4 linked regions of the Drosophila melanogaster genome follow. The protein of the gene in region 2 purifies or fractionates together with the protein of the main gene of each other region. This does not show direct contact. Each region holds a gene or a part of one and is shown on either strand. Other genes may lie near its edges. The genes, in order: tim, Pp1alpha-96A, sds22 and Ccdc85.

Region 1 (4,661 bases), on a different chromosome or scaffold from region 2:
CCGCATCATCCTTGGCATTCTCCAGCAGCGGTATCAGGTCTGACCTCACATTCTGGCCAAATCCAATGGCCCGTCGAAAGGTGCGCAGTGTTTGGTCCTCATAGGTGAGCTTGTAGTTGATCTCCTCCAGAATGGCTGGGGATTGAAAATAAGTTAAATACCTAATTAATGTAGTAGTCCTATATTGATTACTCACCCAATGCATTCGGGTTGACCACATAGGTATCGCCCTCCAAGCAACCCAAGGAGGAGAACGCGCTGTACAACTGCGGAGTTGCTAGTAACCAGTCCATAACCGATTTCACTTTATCAAAGTTCTGATTATTCCAGATGTGATTGTGGAGCTGCCTAACTCTGCTCATTGTCGACTGCGAACATTGAGGTACTTCTTAGCCATTTGCGCGGTATCTGTAACTATAAGTAAACAAAAATGTATATTTAATTGTTATTAAAACTTAAATATTCTTAACGTGGTACCAGAGGTGAATTTAAATAATATTACACATTTAAACTGAGATGTGAAATGGTGAAAAATTTATGGCATTTTTGTAAGCTGTAACAGTCACCTTAAAATATGTTAAGGTCACTAACCCATCGTCTTCCAGGGCATTACGCAACCACAAATGATTCCCATAAATATTTGCACTCGCAAACAAAATCGCCACCCATGTGACCATCAAGGGCGCAGTCCATGCAATGTGCTGCAATTGCAGCCGCTCGGGGATGAAACCCGAATCAACTCCCATTCCACATCACCTCACACACGTGTCCGCACAGCACGTCTCCCATTTACCACCCGTTGCGAGTCGAATCAAGGAAACTGCCTACCAGACGAGCCCCGAAAGTTCCCAGAAGCCACACTTGCCAGTCCGGAAAGTGAAAAAGTGGGCTGGATTGGCAAACACCACCACCCCCCCCCCCCACACAGGGGGGAGCCCAACCTTCAGCCATCACGTAACGAGGCAAATCCTCAACAGGCGACTGCGGCACCCGGTGGCCGCATGTGACTCACTTGCAGACATCCGGGCTGATTGTGTAAACAACACAGTTGGAGGACAAAGCCACTGGGTTCGCAAACGGACTACGGACTACGGGACTCCGGAGGAACAAAGCCTGCAGTCGGAAAAGCCGACCACCCGTAGCGATATTTATAGGACATGAATCGGGATGCAGGATTTGGCATTTGTGCGGCTTCCAGCCTGCTGACTTTGAATGTTTCGTGCTATATTTGGCCATTAAAGCGAATGCAGTTTAGTTGCATTGGTTTTCGTTGCCCTCTTTTGGGCGAACACGTTAAATGGCACGCTAAATGGCCAAGAGCGGAAAATAAACAGCGCAAACAGTTGAGAAAATTTTAAAATTACAAAGCCATTTATGGCCTAGCTGATTTACTATAAAATTGTTTTAAAATGTAATAATGCTCAATAGGAAATTATATCTAAGAAGGGAGATTTAATTGTGTGTAAATTGAGGGACAATAAATTATGGACATTTTATAGAAAATATTAAAAAATATAATTAATAAGAAAACAGTGATATCTAAGAGAAAAAAAATAAAAATACTTTTCTTTTAAATTTTACTTAGATATTTCTACTGAAACTAATATCGAATTTTGTTGGTCGAGCATAATTTTTGCACCATCCGAAATCATAGATCATCTGAGCATCTTTGTATCTGTGAAACGTTTCTAGCAACCCCAATACCATTTCCGCTGACTGGTTATGAAATCAAAGACCCAACTTACATAAAACGCAAGGCGAGAACTACAAAATGATATGCGCATTGAAATTTCGAGCTGAGTATCTACTTTTCTTGGAGAGTGAAAACAATTTTCATTCTTTCGCAAAGGGGAAATTCATTGAAGCGAGGTTGAATTTGCATTTGAAACGGAAAGCAAAGATAGATCACGAATAAATATTTAAGATTTGAATTTGCAATGCAAATACATCTGAGGGTCGTTAAAATCCTAGCTAAACGAGCAGAAACCACTGAACATCTGTGTGCCAGGATGAAATCTGTCAGTTTCAGGACGATTCCCGTACTTATTTCGCTATCCTGTTTCTGACAGGAATTCCGTGGAAGGCCAAGCCTCCTTTTTTGACAGTTCACTGCGTGCTTTTTACATAAGAATTGTAACGGAGAATTGTTGTGCTTCGTAAATTGCCCCTTTAACTTGTTTTCATTTTCCCAGTATTATGTGATTTCGTTTTCATGTGGAAATGGGTTTTCTTTCTGTGCAAGCTTTAATTGCTTGAATATGTCGCCGCTTAAAGCTACTTTTTAGAAAGCTTTGTTAAAGTGTAATTTTGTCAGGGGTCAACTGATAACGAACTGTGTTAGGTCAGGTCTAAGCTATGTAATGTTAAATATACTAGTGGTTTATATTTCTTACCAATTATTTAAATTTTTTCTATCGCAGACAATTTTACTGTTTTAGTTTTAGCCGAATTGCAATCAACAATTAAAGCTGATTGTTTATGTTTCTAAGCAATTGAGCTTTTCTGAGCACTTTTTGGGTTTCTTTGCAGAATAGATCGTGTTATAGTTTCAGTGCTGTTATATACACTGATGAAATTATTTTTGTTTTATATCTGAAAGTAGTTTTAAGAATATTTGTTAGGGTAAATTCAGTTTTTTTGGTAATATTAAGATTTTAACCACTCATGAAAAATTTGTTAAGGATTTGCAATTTTATTTAACACTTTGTGAACTTTGCTTTGTTAACACTGCACAAAAAATTCTTTATACTCGTTGTTGGCTTATGTAAAATGCAACTTCAATAGCAATTAATTTGCACTTTTTTCGATTGCAATCTAGGCTAAACACTGAGAGAAAGACCAGTGAGTCATGTAAGCACTCTCTTTAAGATTATTGATATGTGAATTAATAAATATTATTGCATGAATTCACAAAAGTATTCAAGATTATTTTAGCAAAATATCTTTATTAAATTTTCTTTATTTAAGAGATATTTATTTTCGAAACTTCTATTTTGTTGATAAACTTCGAACCGCTCAACGAACCGCTTACTTGGAACGCACAATGCTGAATGCGATCTGAGTTACGGCTAGCTCACCGAAGTCAGATACAAAATGCATCTCACAGATACACACACTGACCGAAACACCCACTCACACAGGGCCAACGTGCCGCTGCCGGCGTTTGTGCGAACGAAAGACGCTAGCCGAAAGCTCTCGCCGCGCTGCTCCGTCCCGCTCGCACTCAATGCCGGACGGCCGGGGAAATCGGCTCACGTGTAATCACAACGTGCCGCACGTTTATTTGCCAACCGCCACTACGATGTTCGATAACATGAATAACCAGCGCCGGAAAATACGGAGAACAGTCTGGGAACAACAGCAATAGTCAGAACGTTTCTGTGCACTCAAAAAAAAAAAGTGTGTCACTTTACCAAATGGTATCTTCAATAACGAGACTTCACTTTACTTTAATACTTTACTTTACTTTATTTAATAAATGTATATATTTAGTGTGCAAAATAATTAATATAAATGATTTCAAAACTACGTTTTTTTTTGATTATACAACACTCACGTTTATATGTATATAATATATTCAATGACATATTTTGTTACATACATAAATATTATATTATTTTGTCTGCTGCTGTACTGTATTCCTCACAGACGTTTCACATTAAAACCAATATTTTTTTCAGTGTAAAGTTAAACGTTTTTGACGCCGCCTTCGAACGACTCTGCCGTAGGCTTCGTCAGGGTGACATTGTTCGGCTCTGAGTGCCTCAGATGATCCGTTGAATAATCCTTTTGGGAACGGAATCAACAGTTGGTTGCAGGCGCGGGCACACGCGGCGTATACGCACCGGGCTCATTGAATGCGTATACTGTGGGGAGCGTATATATTTACTTTGAGTGTTTCCACGGTGGCGCGAGCTGCAGCACGTCGGCACCGAATCGCGGTGGTAAATCGACTGGAAACGGAGGTTTAGGAAAATACTTTTGCTCGGACTGGGGCGATAGAAATAAATAACTGACACTCTCATTTTACGAAGTCACTCACTCACAATAGGCGATTTGACGTCAAAATGTTATTCAACCCAGACTATCAAATTCTATTATTTCAATAAGAAGATTAGTTGTCACAAAAAAAAGAAACAAATTAATAATGCTGTTAATTAGATGGTTAGACTTTTGTAAAAGGTGACAATCTAACTATATTTTTAATATAAAGGAGCAGATTTTGATTGAATACATTTCAACTATGAATTAATTTTTTTATTTTTTGCAAATAATATTTAAGTTATATATCCATTGCTGCAAAGTGAATGGAGAAAAACGAAAGTGCCAATGTAAGAACATAGCATTGATTAGACCACTTCAGCCGATCCGCCCAAAGTTTCCACTCAACGTAAGTTGTGCGATCACTTCGCCAATGCCAAGGCTATGCAAGTACATACATCTGAATTATGCAACGCCTGATGTTAATTTCTGTAAGCTAATTTATCACTAAGCAAACACAACAATGGCGGAGTCCGTTCAGCGGCAAAGTAAGCCACGCCAATGCACAAAAACTTGTCCCTACGTATACGTAATGCAAGTAATTGCGTATACGCCGCATGTAACACATGAACGGTGGACAGTCACGATGAAAGTTGGCTGATAAGCCTCCCAATCAAAAG
Region 2 (6,603 bases):
TGAACACAAGCGAATGCTTCAGTGATGTCCGCCAGGATAAGCTGCGCCTGCAGCGGGCATATGATAAAATCATTTTCAACAACTCGGACAAGTGGAACAAAGATCGCGCCAATGAGAGCAGGCAACAGGAAGTGACGAGGAGCAGCAGCAGCAGCACCACCACCACACCTTATGCCTTAAGGCAGAAGTTGCTCCAGCTGAGGCTCCAGGAGGATGAGCGACATGGCAGGGGCACGGGTGGCACATGTGCTCCTTTGGGAAAGAGTTGCTCACTGCGATATAACTAAACACAAAGTGCTATACAAAGTAAATTTAGTGCAATATATTAAGCAACATAAAGTAAAGTTATAAATAAGATTTTAAAGTCCTCGAAATGCTTTAGATTGTAACACCAACTATATAGACAATAAATAATAGATTTGCTTTTTTAAACAAGAAACTAACATGCATTTCACTCAAGTAAAAACACATCTCGAATTTCATATTTATTGCTAGTATGTATTTCAATTTTTTTTTTAATAAAACAGTGCTATTTTGTTACAAGTGCTTCGTCATTGTGTTCATTTTGTTTAATTTGTATTTTTTTGTTTCATTTTTTAGCTCTTTTTTAAATGATTTTTTTGTTTGTTATTTTTTTATTGTATTTTATTTTTTTTGCAATTTACGCTTTGAATGCATTATAAATTTACCCCATCTGTCTTTTCTAATTTCCTTCTTGGGGTCAATTACACTTTAATTTTACGATATTACGTTATAGATTTCTTATGACTTGTGTTTTTTGGGGGTTGAAAACAGCCGATGTCGTACTGGATCGCATTATTACAAGTACATATATAGTCGTAAATATACGTTGAATTCATTACAACATTGAACAGAGTACTAGAGTGTGAAATAGAAGAGGACTCATGCTTTGCTTTTGGTTTTGTTTTTTTTTTTTTGTCCGTAGGTTACACGATTGTTGTTAGTAGGTTGCTTGGTTGTCGGGCGGGGATTGGATTGGATTGGATTATACAAACGAAACCATTTTGGGTAACTTGCGTCCGGCTGCATCGCTCCGGATCGCTGCCTGCCTGCCTGGGCATAATACTTGTAATTGAATGTGGCGGCCTTTAGCACTAGAATGTTGCGACGTTAGTCGTAGAATGCAAAATACACAAAAGTGTACACTTGTACGATAAACAGTGTTTGTGTCTGTGTTTGTTGCGCTGCTGTTTACAAATATTTTATTACTTGCTTATTTTTGTTTCGATTTTTTTTTCTATATTTCGTGTGAGTTTCACATGCACTTAATGGGTCTGGGGCCGCTGCTTTCCTTTCGTCTGGGCGGGGGATTAAAAGGGGGTAACATTATCTGCCTCGTCGCTGACATCAGCAGAGAGCACACAGTGCCGCTCAAAAGCGTTCGCCTTAAGGTAGATTTTCAATTCGGGTTTATTTTTGTCTATATAAACATACTTTTCAGGGTTCTCCTTAAAATCGTGTGTGCGTGCTTGCCTGTATGTGTGTGTTTGTGTAATGCAAACAGTTAAAAAATATTCACAATATTTGTTTATTTTAATATTTTTGGTGTAAACAATTCAAGCTTTTGTAGCTTGCAACTAAAATTGCTTTCCTCGTTTTAAAACTAAGTAAACATGTATCGATGTCAAATATTACAAAAATAAATCGTGCTTCGAGTACATACATATGTAATATGTAGTAACCTCAACTCACATTTAAAAGCATTCTCGTACAGTTTAATTAACATAAAATTTAACATTGTTACCATTTGCTAATATTCCCTTAGATACGCAAAAAAAAAAAACAAGGAAGAAGGGAAGTGTGGTTAAAGACCTTTGCCAAAGGTGCCGCCAGGATCGGCATACATAATTAAAATGCTGTGCGAGTTGGAAATGCAAATTAAAATACAACCGGTGCGTGCACTTATGGTACCTACTGTACGGATGATCTGAGCATGTGTATGTGTGTGTGTGTGTGTGAGTGTGTGGGTTTTGCGCAAGGAAATATTATAACAAAATTAATACATTAGGAGATAAAATATTCTTGCTTATGCAGTGTCTTACACTACCATTAGTTTGAACTAAAGTGTCTCGATTTGTGTTTTCTGGTTTCTTAATTTCATTTCATTCGTTTCGTTTTCCTTATTTGTTTTTGTTTTTTTTTCCTTTTCAAATGAAAGATAGGCTAATTTGTGTAGATTCATATTCCCCATATAACGTTGCTCACGATTCGATTACACGTTTATGATAAAAACAAACTCTCTGCGCTTTCCGTTGAATGTGGACACACGGATTCTCCTTTCTGTTTTCCCTATTTGTGTTTTGTGTGTGTGGCCGTTTGTAGTTGCTGTTGTTGTTGTGCTTCGTTCGAGGTGTGCAGTGTTTATTTTTTCTTGTTTTTATTGTTAGCTCCGCGTGGCGGTGTCAAAGGACGTCCTGAGCTGCCAAAGTTGGGATAAACAAATCGTCGCTTGTCGGCGGGTTTCAATATCTGGAAGGAGCACATCAATGTGTCGTCCACGGACATCATGGCACCTGTAAACGTAATCAATAATGATTAATCAATTCATTAGAAGCGGGTGTCGTGCATAGGTAGTTTCATTCTCGGTATTGATTATTGATTATTTTTAAATGCGCATTTTCCGAGTTGAATTTAAATCTGGTTGCCAGCTTTCACTTGCCGACAGCTTATCGGCAGGCAAAATCACCGAGTACAAGGGTGCAACGTGGTTGTTCTCCAAATAAACAAGGTTTATCTCCGACTAAAGTCCCCGAACAATGATCACTTACCCGCGTTGTCGAATTCCCCGCAGTAGTTGGGCGCCGAGAAGAGCGTCACCAGCTGACGTTTGGCGAAGAACTCATAACCGTCCTCCACTACCTGATGAGCCCGACAGATCAGGTCAAATTCGTGCTTCTGTAAAAATTTACCCACAACCTGCAAGAGCGAATGCATAAACAACATTGTGGCGAACAGTGTAATGCGAAGAACCCACCTCTGCTCCAAATGTGAAGCTCACGCCGCGATCATTCTCGCCCCAGCCCATGGTATCCTTATCCGGATCCGACCACAGCAGATCGCACAGCAGTCCCTGATCGGGCACGTCTGTGGGACGCATGATGCGTCGTATCTGCTCCATGGACGACAGATCTGGACTCAGGCCACCGTGGCAGCAGAAGATCTTCTCATCCACGATGGCGGCCACCGGCAGGCAGTTGAAGCAGTCCGTGAAAGTTTTCCACAGCTTGATGGTGTAGCGACGTTTACATTCGTCATAGAACCTGCCAATTAAGTGCAATTAGTTGAGTAATTTTATGGATTATTGCTATAGAATGTGGCATTTACTTTATGTATTTGAAGTATGGCTAATTTAATTGTAATGGATATCGTTGTGTGCGTCAATAAACTAGAAAGTATTAATAAGCTTGGAAGCATAAGTAGACATCAATATGTCTGGGAAATTTTTAAAGCTCACGTAAACAATAAACAACTATAAGTTCTATAGCATGTATAAAAGTACATAGTCATCAGAAGTAAATACGAGTCGTAAGAATAATATAAATTGTAATCAAATGAGTTTCAGTAATCTAAGCAGGAAAGCAAATTGTTTCGGTGCTGAACTGAACAGATTGCTAACCATTTCATCAAGCTTCATCCTGTTTTTGGAGCCGCCTCCCCACTTACCCGTAGATGCGATTGATGCTGGCGCACTCATGGTTGCCGCGCAGCAAGAAGAAGTTCTCCGCGTACTTGATCTTGTAGGCCAGCAGCAGGCATATCGTCTCCAGGGATTGCTTGCCGCGATCGACATAGTCGCCCAGGAACAGGTAGTTTGACTCGGGCGGAAAGCCGCCGTATTCGAACAGGCGCAAGAGGTCATAATATTGTCCGTGTATGTCGCCGCAGATCTTCAGCGGTGCCTCCAGCTCCAGGAGTATGGGCTGCGACAGGAATATCTCGCGGGACTTGAGGCACAGGCTGCGGATCTCGCTCTCTGATAGCTGAACATTCTTTCCCGGTCGTGCACCGCGCACTGCAATGGAAAACCAAGCAGGGAAAATTTACGTTAAGGTGATGAGAGTGGGCGGTGGTTGGGTGGCAAGGCATGTGGGGAATGGGTGATGATGGGTGGGGGCAAGGTAATCAAAAGTTGGAGCCCTAACACCTACCCTCCAGCAGGCGCGAGATGATACTGTCGATGTTCATGATATCCGACATCTTTGTGGGCCCGCTTGCTCAGCTTCCTGAAGTTCGCTTATCCGCCGATTGCAGCAACTGCTATTTCCCGTAACCCGTGTATTTTCGGTATACGTTCGTTATGTATGTTATTTCATCGATGGGCACGGGCTGCGTGTGCCTGTGTGTGTGTGCGCCGTGTCCGTGTGCGGATGGAAACTCGGTGCTGGGCTAATCTCGCCCTTTGGTCAGCTGGATGCACGGATTCGCGGATTCACTGCCTCGGTTGCTCACCCCTCTGAGGTTGGCTGACTTCAATCGTTCCGATCCTTAGCCAGCTGCCCTTTTATTGCATTTAATGCACGTTTTACTCGCGACGTACTAAAAAATTTTCATCTACGTTGGTTAGTGACGTCGATTGTTTACAGCGCGAGTCGATTGCCTATCGATTGCCTATCCATTGCACGGCGCGCAGCTATCGGTAAAAGGTAGTGTGACCGGAATATGCAAATTCATTTAAAAAACAATATTTTTTAGTTAAGTACGGTACATTGAACAGGTGATAGGTACTCATAAAGGAATATAATTATCTTATGATATATTGGCTATTAAACGTATCGTTGACATTTATACCCAAAGTATTATAATATCATCTTTATTGACTCATTTTAGGTTATCATCGCTGTCATTGAAGCTCTTCCCGTCCTCCGTGGTGTTGAACATCACCCGCTTCCTGGGCAGCGGAACTGGCCTCGAACTCAGGGACGACTTGGAAGCTCCTCGAATAGTGGCCGCCGGCTTGACCAGGATCTCCTCCAGACGAGCCTTGAAATCGCGACTAACTAGTCTTTGAGGACTGGGGCTTCGAGTTTGCTGTTCGCTGCTATCCGTTTGCTCATCCGTCTGCTCTTCGCCTTGAGAGCTGGCTATATCCTCTTCAGACTTTTCAGAGATCGCAGACCTCGGGATCCCTTTGCCTGGAACCTCCATTGGCTTGAGTGGACTCTTGTGCTTCAGCAACATTTCCGCGCGTTCCGAGAACTTGGCGGAGCACAGTTTTTCGACAAACTTGCGGATGCGATTTCGAGTGGCGTAAAAATGTGGATGTTGCTAAAGGGTATTCCAGAATTGTCAAAAGTTCATTAGTTTTTGGCAGTTATAGGCTTACCAGTTTCAGTTTGTTGCGGTGCTCTGTCAGCTCGGAGTTCACTCTCTTCAAAGAGTTATGCGAAATACCTTTGGACTTCATATCGAAGCCGTGAGACATCAACTTCCGGTTGACCATCTTCCGGGCATCCTTGCGAGTAAGTGGTTTTTGAGGGCTCCTTAAAACATGTGGATTATTATTACTCTAAGAAAGCTTAACATCGAAACACTCACTTGATGATTCTTCCAGAAGGCTTGATTGTTTTTGGCGTTGGATCCTCTCGTGCTGCTTCCGACCCGGAGGTGGGAACATCGGTCCCCTCCTCCTCTGTCAGGCTGCGCTCCTCTTCGTTCTCCGTCTCTTCTTGGCTGAGACTATCGCTTACGTCCGTGGCTTCTTTCGTTTCCTGCTTATTAGGAGCAGGTTCCCTTGGAGATTTCGTATAAGTCGGATTGCTGTCCGAACTTCCAGCACTTGGCTGCTCCTTTTCCACCACTTGAACTTGGGTCACCAGCTGTGGGAATGGTTTCTCCGAACCTTTTCGTGGCGCCTCCTCAATGGAATAGGTGTCATCGTCATGTTTCTGTTTGAGGAACTCGCTCTCCACCTGCTTGCGAATCCGATCAATGTTGGTTTCCTCCTTGCGAACCACCGGCTTGGGTATTTTCGAGGCAACTGGCACAGTCTGCACAGGCTCTGGCTGCACCTTTTGAACACTCAGCTGCTTGAGCTCTCGCTCCAGTGCCCCTAGCTTCTCCTTGTAGCCCTCCTCAAGGTGATAGACCACCTCTTCCAGCCTGTGTGCGCTGACCTTTCCAATCTCTGCCACCTTCTCAGTGAGTATGCGCTCCAGATCCTCCAGACACGGCGTGGCCACCCGATCTTCCAGCGGAGGCGTGCTGGCGGATGCCTGTTTACTCTGCTCGAGTGCGTGGCTCAGGCCCTCCAGCCTCTTGTTAATGTCCTGAAAGGATATAAATTGTAATGGTACTTCCACAGGAGTAAGGATTACTTGATTCTACCTGTATAAACTGTTCGTTGCTCTGCTTGAGCTGCGTTTGCCACTCCTCAAAGTTGCTCAGTCGCTCCGCCAATCCTGTGAGTTGCTCCTTCCGTTCGCTGGCCTCGCTTTGCCTGGCCTCTCCGCTGTCCTCGTCCTTCTCCTTTGGCTCCGCCAGATTGCTCTGTATGCCCACGTGGCGCTGCTCCTGGCGCGGACTTACCCGCTTCGATCCCGTGCTCCGCTCCTTAATATTCCGCTCGGCGGCATTCAGGCGCTC
Region 3 (3,759 bases), 7.1 Mb from region 2:
ATGGAGGTCCTCATAAAGTGAGCGCCTCTGACTATTACGCTGTTTCGAATTGATGAACTCCTCCAAAAGCAATCCAACTGACGCCTCATATACTTTGTCAAAAAATGAAATGATAAGCATATTTGCACAACATGTCTGCCACAAAGGGAAAGAATGAAGACAAAGGCCTTTATGAAAGCCACTTATCAGTTGAGCTCTGTGATTTCAATCGATAGAACAATAACTTTGATATAAATAAAAATACATTCCGTTGAATGTACTCTGACATACTGAAATGTATTGTTTTGGTTTAAGAGAAACCAGAATTGTTTAACTAAAATGTTTTCATCTTTTTAGATTCAATTTACATTATTTATGTGTATATATAAAATACTTTTTAGTTTTATATGTTAGGCGGTAGCCTAGATGGATAATTTATCTGACTCATTAGGTAAACTTCACGCTTTGAGTAACTTATCCAAATATACCTTCTTCTGAAAGCAAACTAAATCACTGCACCCACCAATTCGTAGATAGAACCATTAGTGGTTAATTTGTATGTATATTTTAAACGCAGTTTTTCAAAGTTAATCGATATAAATGTAGTGGCGCAACGCCGTGGATTAGTCTTTCAAGGGGTTTACAGTGGTTCCATCTAGGTACCGGGCACCTTGCACAGGGTGGCATCAATCTTCTGCAGCTGCGGCAGTATGTCGCGCAGTTTGGAGCGGTAGCGAACATCCTTGGCCAGCGGATTGTACTCCAGGTAGATGGTCTGCAGCGCCTTGTTCACCTTCAACAGCTCAATGTCCTTCCAGTCATCGACTCCGTTGTGGTTCAGCCACAGCTCCTCGAGCAGTTCCAGCTTTTCCAGATTGGCAATGCCCTTCAACCGGTTCTTGGCCAAGTCGAGGGTCTCCAATTTGGTGTTCTCCGAGAGGTTTTCAATGGTTTCCACTCCGTTTTCCGAAACGTAGAGTTCGCGGAGGTTGGCAAGCTTTTCAAGGTTCTCGATTTTTACAATGCGATTGGCCTGTAGACTGAGTATCTCCAAATTGACCAATGTGTCCAAGTTCTCGATCTTTGCTATCTTATTTTTGCCCAGGAAGAGCTGTCGTAGATTCACGAGCATTTCGATGTTTTCGATCTTCTTCAGTTTGTTATCCCCCAGCTCTAGCATGGTCAGATTGGTGAGCATGTCCAGGTTCTCGATTTGGGTTATCCGGTTCGACACAAAGTAGACCTTCTCCAGCTTGACCAGCTTGTCAAGGTTCTCTATCTTCGTCAGACGATTGAAGCTAATGTCCAGCACCTCCAGGTGGGGCAAGTCGTCCAAATTCTCAATCTTGGTGATCTGGTTGTCATACAGCTCCAGCTCAATCAGTGTTTTCAGGCTGGACAAGTTCTCGATTTTCTTGATCAGATTCCAGCGCAGAAACAGGCGCTCGATTCGAGTCAGCGGCTCGAAGTTCTCCAGCTTCTCGATCCGGCGATGATTCAGATCAAGCTCGTAGCAGTCCGGATCGATTGTGATTATATCCTCAATGGAAGCCACATCCTCGGCGGGAATCACCTGGATTCCGGACACAGTTTTCGCGGCTTCTGGTTCGTTCATCGCACGATCAGCATCGCCCATGACTGATATATTTTGACCGGCTTTTCTTTTTTTTTAATTCAAGTTGACTTTCGAAAATTGAACGCTGACTTGACTTGTTGTTTATTCCGCTGCTCAGGGTGGAACAAAGTGGGGTGACTTTCTTTAAATATGACGTCAAAGCTTGACACTGTTACAAAAGCAAGAACACACGGTAAATATAAATATGTAAATTTAAAATAAATATGTATTAAAATATTTACTTAATATTTATAAGTTAAGTCCAAGATGACTGTATACTCCTTTTGGTCCAACTTGTTCAATATGTCAACAAAATACTTAGTCACCTTACCGGCACTTTAACACTATTTCTACTAGAGATGTGCACCTAAGAACACGATGCTAAACCTGTATTATTATATATTCCAATGTAAATGAAAAACAAATATTGATTGATAATTTGCCAAATAAACTAGAACATAATTTTTGGAACCAGCTTTACGTAATTTTTACAATTTTAATATCTCTTTTAAGTTTTTCAAGCAGTTGTGCCAATGTCGTTCTTGATTGAGAAATGCGCATCTCTAGCATTTCTTCTTCTATCATCAGTGTTAAGCAACGCCGGCGGGGTTCAATCAGATGTTTTCCAAGCGTGTTGATTCAATTGGCAACAAATTGCAAATTGTTTAAAAAAGACTCGAAAATGGCTTTCAAATGACAGCAAACAAGTAGTTTAAACTGTCAAAACAACGGATAAAAACGAAGCGTTGCAGGTGGCAGTGTTTATTAAAGCAAAGAACAAACAATCATGTCTACGGGCCTAAAATGTCGCAATTGCGGATCCAACGAGATCGAGGAAGACAATGCTCGCGGAGATCGAGGTATAATGACATCCAAGGACCCATATCCATGACACTAACGACGTTCACCCATTCACTGTAGTTTGCATGAACTGCGGCTCGGTATTGGAGGATTCCCTCATTGTTTCCGAAGTGCAGTTCGAGGAAGTTGGCCATGGAGCAGCCGCAATTGGCCAGTTTGTGTCCGCCGAGTCGTCGGGCGGTGCCACCAACTATGGCTACGGCAAGTTTCAGGTGGGATCGGGCACCGAATCCCGCGAGGTGACCATCAAAAAGGCCAAGAAGGACATCACACTACTCTGCCAGCAGCTGCAGCTATCCCAGCACTATGCAGATACTGCTCTGAATTTCTTCAAGATGGCATTGGGTAGGCATCTGACCCGCGGTAGGAAGAGCACCCACATCTACGCCGCTTGCGTGTACATGACCTGCAGGACAGAGGGCACCTCCCGTGAGTAGTGCATTCATTTTGCCTAAAGAGTAGCTTATTGACTGCTCATATCTTCACAGATCTCCTCATCGACATCAGCGACGTACAGCAAATCTGTTCCTATGAGCTTGGTCGTACCTACTTAAAGTTATCGCATGCCCTTTGTATCAACATACCTTCTCTGGGTGAGTGAACGTTGTGAATACTAAACTATACACCTAAATCCCAATCCACAGTCAAGTCAAGCCATAGCTCCACTCTTAATTTTTGTTTTTTTAAAAATATTTTGTTGGGTTTGTTAGATTTGCTTGCTTTCCTTTTATCAGGTATTTAACAATACTCTACTCGTTCCTGTTTTCTTTATGCACTACTTACGTGATGTCAAAATATCCAAAATCTTCAACTCTGAGAAAGTAAATTCGCAAAAATCTAATAATGTATTTTGTTTGATTAAAGTACATAATGGTAATAGATTCATAATCAATACAGGATAACATTTTATATAGATATATGTATATAAAAACCATAATTGTCTTATCAAAAGCAAAAAATCAGTACAATTTCCAAAGAAATCCGAAATACAAACGTAAAACTGATTGTTGCGCTCAGCAGGCTATAATAATGCACAGGAGAAGTACGGGGCTTAGTATCAGTAGAAAGGCATATTGTGTATGTATGAGAGATATAATGGAACAACTACGAAATAGATATAATGCGTACTACAAGATTAATATTTGAATATATATGTAGGGGGGATTTTGTGCGCATCTCGTACAAGATCCCTTGATTTCATTTTTGTTTGCTATTTCGTTAACTGGTTAACTTGGGTTTCAAATTCGTCGTATGCAACTATTAACATGGCCTATTCTCCCTCGAAGTGTTTAGGACTATAGTTT
Region 4 (4,847 bases), on a different chromosome or scaffold from region 2:
TAGGTTGGCCAAAAGGGGGTTTCCTCCAGGCGACCGCAGAAACGGCAGCAAGAGTCAACATGACCGAGCCTAAAAGAAAAGTCACAGTTGCGCTCAAACGAATAGCACCAAAAATGTCACTCAAAGATAATATAAGTCTTATATAGCATATTATATTCTGATCTCTTATTAAATAATCTTGGCGTTTATATAATTTTTGGGATATATGTATGATATACGATTTTGTGAGACGTGTTTATCCACAGATCGCAAAGCGAAGCATTTAAACTAACCTACTTCTAGCATTTCCACCGCCACTATAAGCATGCAAGTATGTGACCATGTGGAGGAGATTCCAGCTATGGCTGCCGGGACAGGAAACTTAAACTAGTTCTAGTTCGAGTAGCTGGCTTCTAGCCGTTCCACAAACTGGGACACTTGTTGCGCCAACTTGGACACTCGATGGCTGGATGACTTGGCTTGGTCTGCCCTGGCTTGGCTCGCAAGCAATCAAACCTGCAGCCCCAAGATGACAAACAGACGAGGCTTCCCACGCATCAGTCACTCCCATGCCGCCCCTGCCACTCCCACGCATCCGATGGCCGAGTCCCGAAGGCCCGGAAAAGAGAAGCCAGGCTAAATTGTCTTAATGGACCATGAAGAGGAGCCCGCGGAGACGTAGAGATCCAAAAGATCATTATACTCCAAAGAGATTCTGCAGATGGCGGCAGGCGCGCGTAAATCTCGAAACCGCCCAATTAAACAGAAAGATATACGTATATGGATGGGTGCTTATAGGAATATAAAGAGCAGGGCGACACACAAAACAAAATCACCGGCGAGGAGGACAGACAACGAAAGAGTGAACGGAGGACCGGCGGCGATGTTGGCGTGGATAAGCCCAAAAGAAAGTTTTCTTTCATTGACAAAAATTTCTTACTCGACTGCGCTGTCTTTTATTTGCCGCCGCGTACAACGAACTTGGCCTCAGTTGCCCACGGGCGCGGATCTTAACCCATTAAGATGCCGGGCCAAGTCAGGAGGAGATTCTTGTGGATACTTTAGAAAAGCCTCATGACCGCAAAAAGATTCCAACTCGGATGAAGGCTTAAAGAAATGAGTAATATTAAACATTCAACTTAGACCCCTAAGGAAACATACTTTTTGTCCGAGAAGTAATAGTGTTAATAATTGTATTAATATTAATTACTATTTACATTTTGCCAATTCAAACGATGCCTGACTGTTGCATTGTTTGTGGTATGTGGCCAAGCAGTTTTCCCAACTACACCATCCCGCCTTTCCATTTAACCCATGGACAATGCATTTGCATTTCTTGGCCGATTTCTCCCTTTCGCGTTAATGGGTTAATGCTGCTGCTGCTGTTGCCTGGCATTAGTTACAGTTTTCCGATACACGAAATTGACTTTACATATTTCAGGCAGCGGGCGATGTAACAGGTTGTTCGGCGCCATCTCTTTCGCTCTTGCGGGCATTTCGTTTCGAAACGGTGGCGTCGCTGCTTTTACCTGTTGCATGCGGCGTGGTTGTTGCTGTTGCTATTGCAACTGCTGCAGCAACAACAAAAGCAACGGCGATGCTGCAGCGTGGTCGGTTTTCGCTGCTGGTTTTGTTTGATCTTGTGTCTTATTGTTGCGCGTTGTCGTGTATCTTTCTGCCTGTTATTTGTTGCTTTCCTCGGATGCGATACTATCGCCATCGCTCCTGCTGCCTCTCCTTCTCACTCACACCAGCAAGCAACTGTTGAATTTATTGGCGCATATAAATGCCTCAAAATTGATGTTATTGTCGTCCGATATTCCCTTTCTTGCCCCCTTGCCGCCTCGCTGGCTCGTTCCTTTGTTTTTGTCCTGCTTGTTTTGAAAATTGATTTTTACTCGGACTTTTATGGCCGTAGTGGCCGAGCGATAAGTGGAGGAAAAACCCGCCTTCGTTTGCGCACCGTGGAGGGAAAAGACAAAAGACCAGAGACAAAAGAAGAACAAATGGGCAAGGTGGGCGTAGCGCTGACAAAGTGGGCGTTCCCGAGGAGAATAGAGCAATTTTCTGGATCGAAGGGAAAAGAGGGGGCAATGAGTTAATTTTCCGTGGGCCGAGGCCCATGGATTTTTAGTCGACTGACGTGGGCTTGGTACACGTAAAAAAGTATTGATTCAATGTTTTTTCAATAGCTGAAGAGCCTGAATTGAACTTTTTGTGAGTGAGTTATCATGTATGTTATTCAAATAGTTCCTTGCACTGTACATTAATTGTGTGGAGAAACGTGGGCAGGGAAAATGGCAACTTAGGCCAAGGCAACTGCAGTTGCTGCAATTGCCAATCTAACAGCAAAACTCACCTTTTATTTTTTTTTATTCCAATCCGATCGCGCGCTCTCTCTATGTTTCTCTATCTATCTCTGTTTCTCGCTCCTTCTCTCCTTTCAAAACAAATCACAAATATTTGCGCATGCGCGACTGCGCATTCCAGGGATACAGATACACACAGACACACACAATACACTGGCACACAGGGGCACTCGATTCCGCCGTTTGTTTTGCGGCTAATTGTTTATACAGCGTAGATTATTCTTCGCACTGGATGTATTTGTTCATCCGGCTATTTTCGTTTGTTTTTGCTCCGCACGAGCAAATTTGCAGCGCACACGCAGCCGAGAATTCGCGCAATCGCTTTTTCCTGTATGTATCTTTTATTGGCCACAGTTCGCGAGTTTTCATGCCCTTTTCGAGAGCCAAAAAGACGCGTCGCCTGCTGCGTTTCGCGAACTATTTTCGGTTGGCTAGAATCCCGTAAAGGCGGTTTCAGCCGGTGTTCCCCTTGCACTTAACAAACACTCAAGCGGCACTCGCAACTAAAGAACAAAAAGTTTGCGAAAATGCGGGCGGTGTGATTAGTCGCCAACACGAATGTATCGAGTGCAGGGCGGGGAAAAGTATAACATAATTTATGCGATATTTAACAATAAAATAAACACAACGCAATAATTCAGCCGGCGATGCGCACTTTTACGTTTTTTGAACGGCAAACGATCGCAACGATCGCAGTTTTGTGACTGAAAGCGACCGATTTCTAGAGATGCGTTCAACCATCCACAGTGCTGTCGACTATCGATTGTTTGTGTTCGACTAAGATATCGGAGTGGAATGTGTTTGGTTTAAAGTGTGGGCATAAATCGATCAATCGATCAACTTCTATTTTAGTACATATTCAAATTCAAACTCTTCCGTTAACGATCTAAACGGAAATTTATCTTGCCTGCTTCTTTTAATAAGTATAATCTTGAATATATTGGCTTGAAGTTTTCATAAGAAACACTTTTATTTAAAAACATTTTGGCTAAATTTCAGCGCCTAAATTATCATCGTATTTCGCCGCCACACCCCAAAGGCAGTTCTCCCAATGGCCCTCAAACCTAAACTGTGTTTCCGATGCAGGCAGCTCCTCCAGCTTCAGCTGACTTGCGCAGAATGAACTGTGCGTTTACGTGTCGCACCAGAAGAAGGTATACCCAGTGAGTCCCTTTGACTCCTCTGGTGGTTGCCATGTTATAAAATTGGCTCTCACGTTAAACCTGAAATCCTAAGCTAATAATAAGAATAACTAAATCTTCTTGGCTGTGCATTTACTTGGACCAATTTAATACTTTCAAGTTGGCTTTACATAACTTGTGTAATTTGATCTTGCATACATAAAAGCATAAAATATATTGCAAAAATACATATGTATACATGGTATGTGTGTTATATAATTCTCTCTATAAACGTTGTAAATTTTGCGTACGGCTGGTAATTAGAATATTTGTTTACATCTGAACACTTAAGATCCACCGTCCCGATTCACTTAAAACATTTAACCTAAATCTATTTGTTTAACGCGTTGAGTGTTTCTCTTTTTTTTTTTTAGTTGAGTCCGTGTGCATTAACTTGTAAATCTGTTCAAAACTGCATTGTTCGTTAAAAGTTGTTTTTTAAAATATAAATATCGAAAATTTAACAGGTAAAAAGAATAATTTCGTAAGAGTAGCTGGTTAAAACAAACAAGGGCTAACAAATCCGTAAAATATGTATACACAAGCTTTCCGTTCCAAGCGATCATAAAGACCCCTGCTCCGTGACCAGCACAACGCTCTGCTCCTGCGCAATGGCAGCCAGCTCCTTAAGCCACTCGTCCATGAGCACAGCACATAGGGCCAGATCGCGTGATCGCTCGGTGCCACTTGTGCTGGCGATGATTCCCATGGAGGCCACCGAGTCCAGGGACGCCGGCTCCGAGTTGAAACCACCCGTCGACGGGCCGCCATCCAGACCGTGCAGAGTGCTCGCCGAGTGGGTGGTTGTGTTCGACTGGGCGGAGAGCGTTAGGGTGGAACCTGCGATGCTGCTGTTGCTTCCCGATGCCGCTGTTGACGTCGCGTTGGCTCCTGTGCGTGATGCTCCCGCTGGGGGCTGCGTACTCAAGCTGGTCTCGCATGTGCCTGCGGACGTCTGAGCTTGTGATATGCCTCTTCCATCGTTGCTGGCATTATTCCCCACCAGATTCGAGGCAGCTCCTAAAAACGTATGCGAGGATTAGCAACAGCACATGATATTGACATTTTGGGTTAATTAAAAAACAACAATAACCACATGTATATATGGGATTCCACAAATGTTTTCTATATTCTACTATTAACTATTTTTTTAGTGGAAAGCATAATGTACAAAGCTCTACGAAAATAAAGATACTACGCACAAATATTAACAAGACTATGCCATATTGGGTTAGGTTTGATTAAAACTTTAAATATTTTATCAAGCGTGAAATATTTACCGGTGAAGAATGCGTAAATTTGTGATAAGCCAGATGAA

Evidence for each region.
Region 1: the proteins of Pp1alpha-96A (region 2) and tim purify together in Drosophila melanogaster (affinity purification with western blotting, with the first as the bait; one study listed by BioGRID). This does not show direct contact.
Region 3: the proteins of Pp1alpha-96A (region 2) and sds22 purify together in Drosophila melanogaster (affinity purification with western blotting; 2 studies listed by BioGRID, with this or other methods). This does not show direct contact.
Region 4: the proteins of Pp1alpha-96A (region 2) and Ccdc85 purify together in Drosophila melanogaster (affinity purification with western blotting; one study listed by BioGRID). This does not show direct contact.

The regions. Positions count from the first base shown.
Region 1 is NT_033779.5:3,504,165-3,508,825, forward strand, and holds the start of tim (timeless), read right to left. Parts: upstream 3,055-4,661; 5' UTR 3,032-3,054; exon of another isoform or gene 3,025-3,031; intron 2,593-3,024; 5' UTR 2,394-2,592; intron 415-2,393; 5' UTR 363-414; coding exon 197-362; intron 136-196; coding exon 1-135. UniProt on the Drosophila melanogaster protein: Required for the production of circadian rhythms. The biological cycle depends on the rhythmic formation and nuclear localization of the TIM-PER complex. Light induces the degradation of TIM, which promotes elimination of PER.
Region 2 is NT_033777.3:24,516,274-24,522,876, reverse strand, and holds Pp1alpha-96A (protein phosphatase 1alpha at 96A), read right to left. Parts: upstream 4,608-6,603; 5' UTR 4,219-4,607; coding exon 4,170-4,218; intron 4,034-4,169; coding exon 3,685-4,033; intron 3,282-3,684; coding exon 2,996-3,281; exon of another isoform or gene 2,938-2,995; coding exon 2,790-2,937; intron 2,535-2,789; coding exon 2,383-2,534; 3' UTR 546-2,382; downstream 1-545. Other genes in the region: CG13622 (uncharacterized protein), read left to right, coding at 1-287; DZIP1, read right to left, coding at 4,840-5,286, 5,345-5,501, 5,557-6,287, 6,346-6,603.
Region 3 is NT_033777.3:17,389,785-17,393,543, reverse strand, and holds sds22 (sds22), read right to left. Parts: upstream 1,951-3,759; 5' UTR 1,837-1,950; intron 1,788-1,836; exon of another isoform or gene 1,764-1,787; 5' UTR 1,616-1,763; coding exon 635-1,615; 3' UTR 524-634; downstream 1-523. Other genes in the region: CREG (cellular repressor of E1A-stimulated genes), read left to right, coding at 1-53; Brf RNA polymerase III subunit, read left to right, coding at 2,382-2,454, 2,516-2,884, 2,944-3,048.
Region 4 is NT_033779.5:2,997,493-3,002,339, reverse strand, and holds the start of Ccdc85 (Ccdc85), read right to left. Parts: upstream 3,055-4,847; 5' UTR 2,339-3,054; intron 1-2,338. Other genes in the region: CG3558 (uncharacterized protein), read right to left, coding at 4,092-4,549, 4,810-4,847.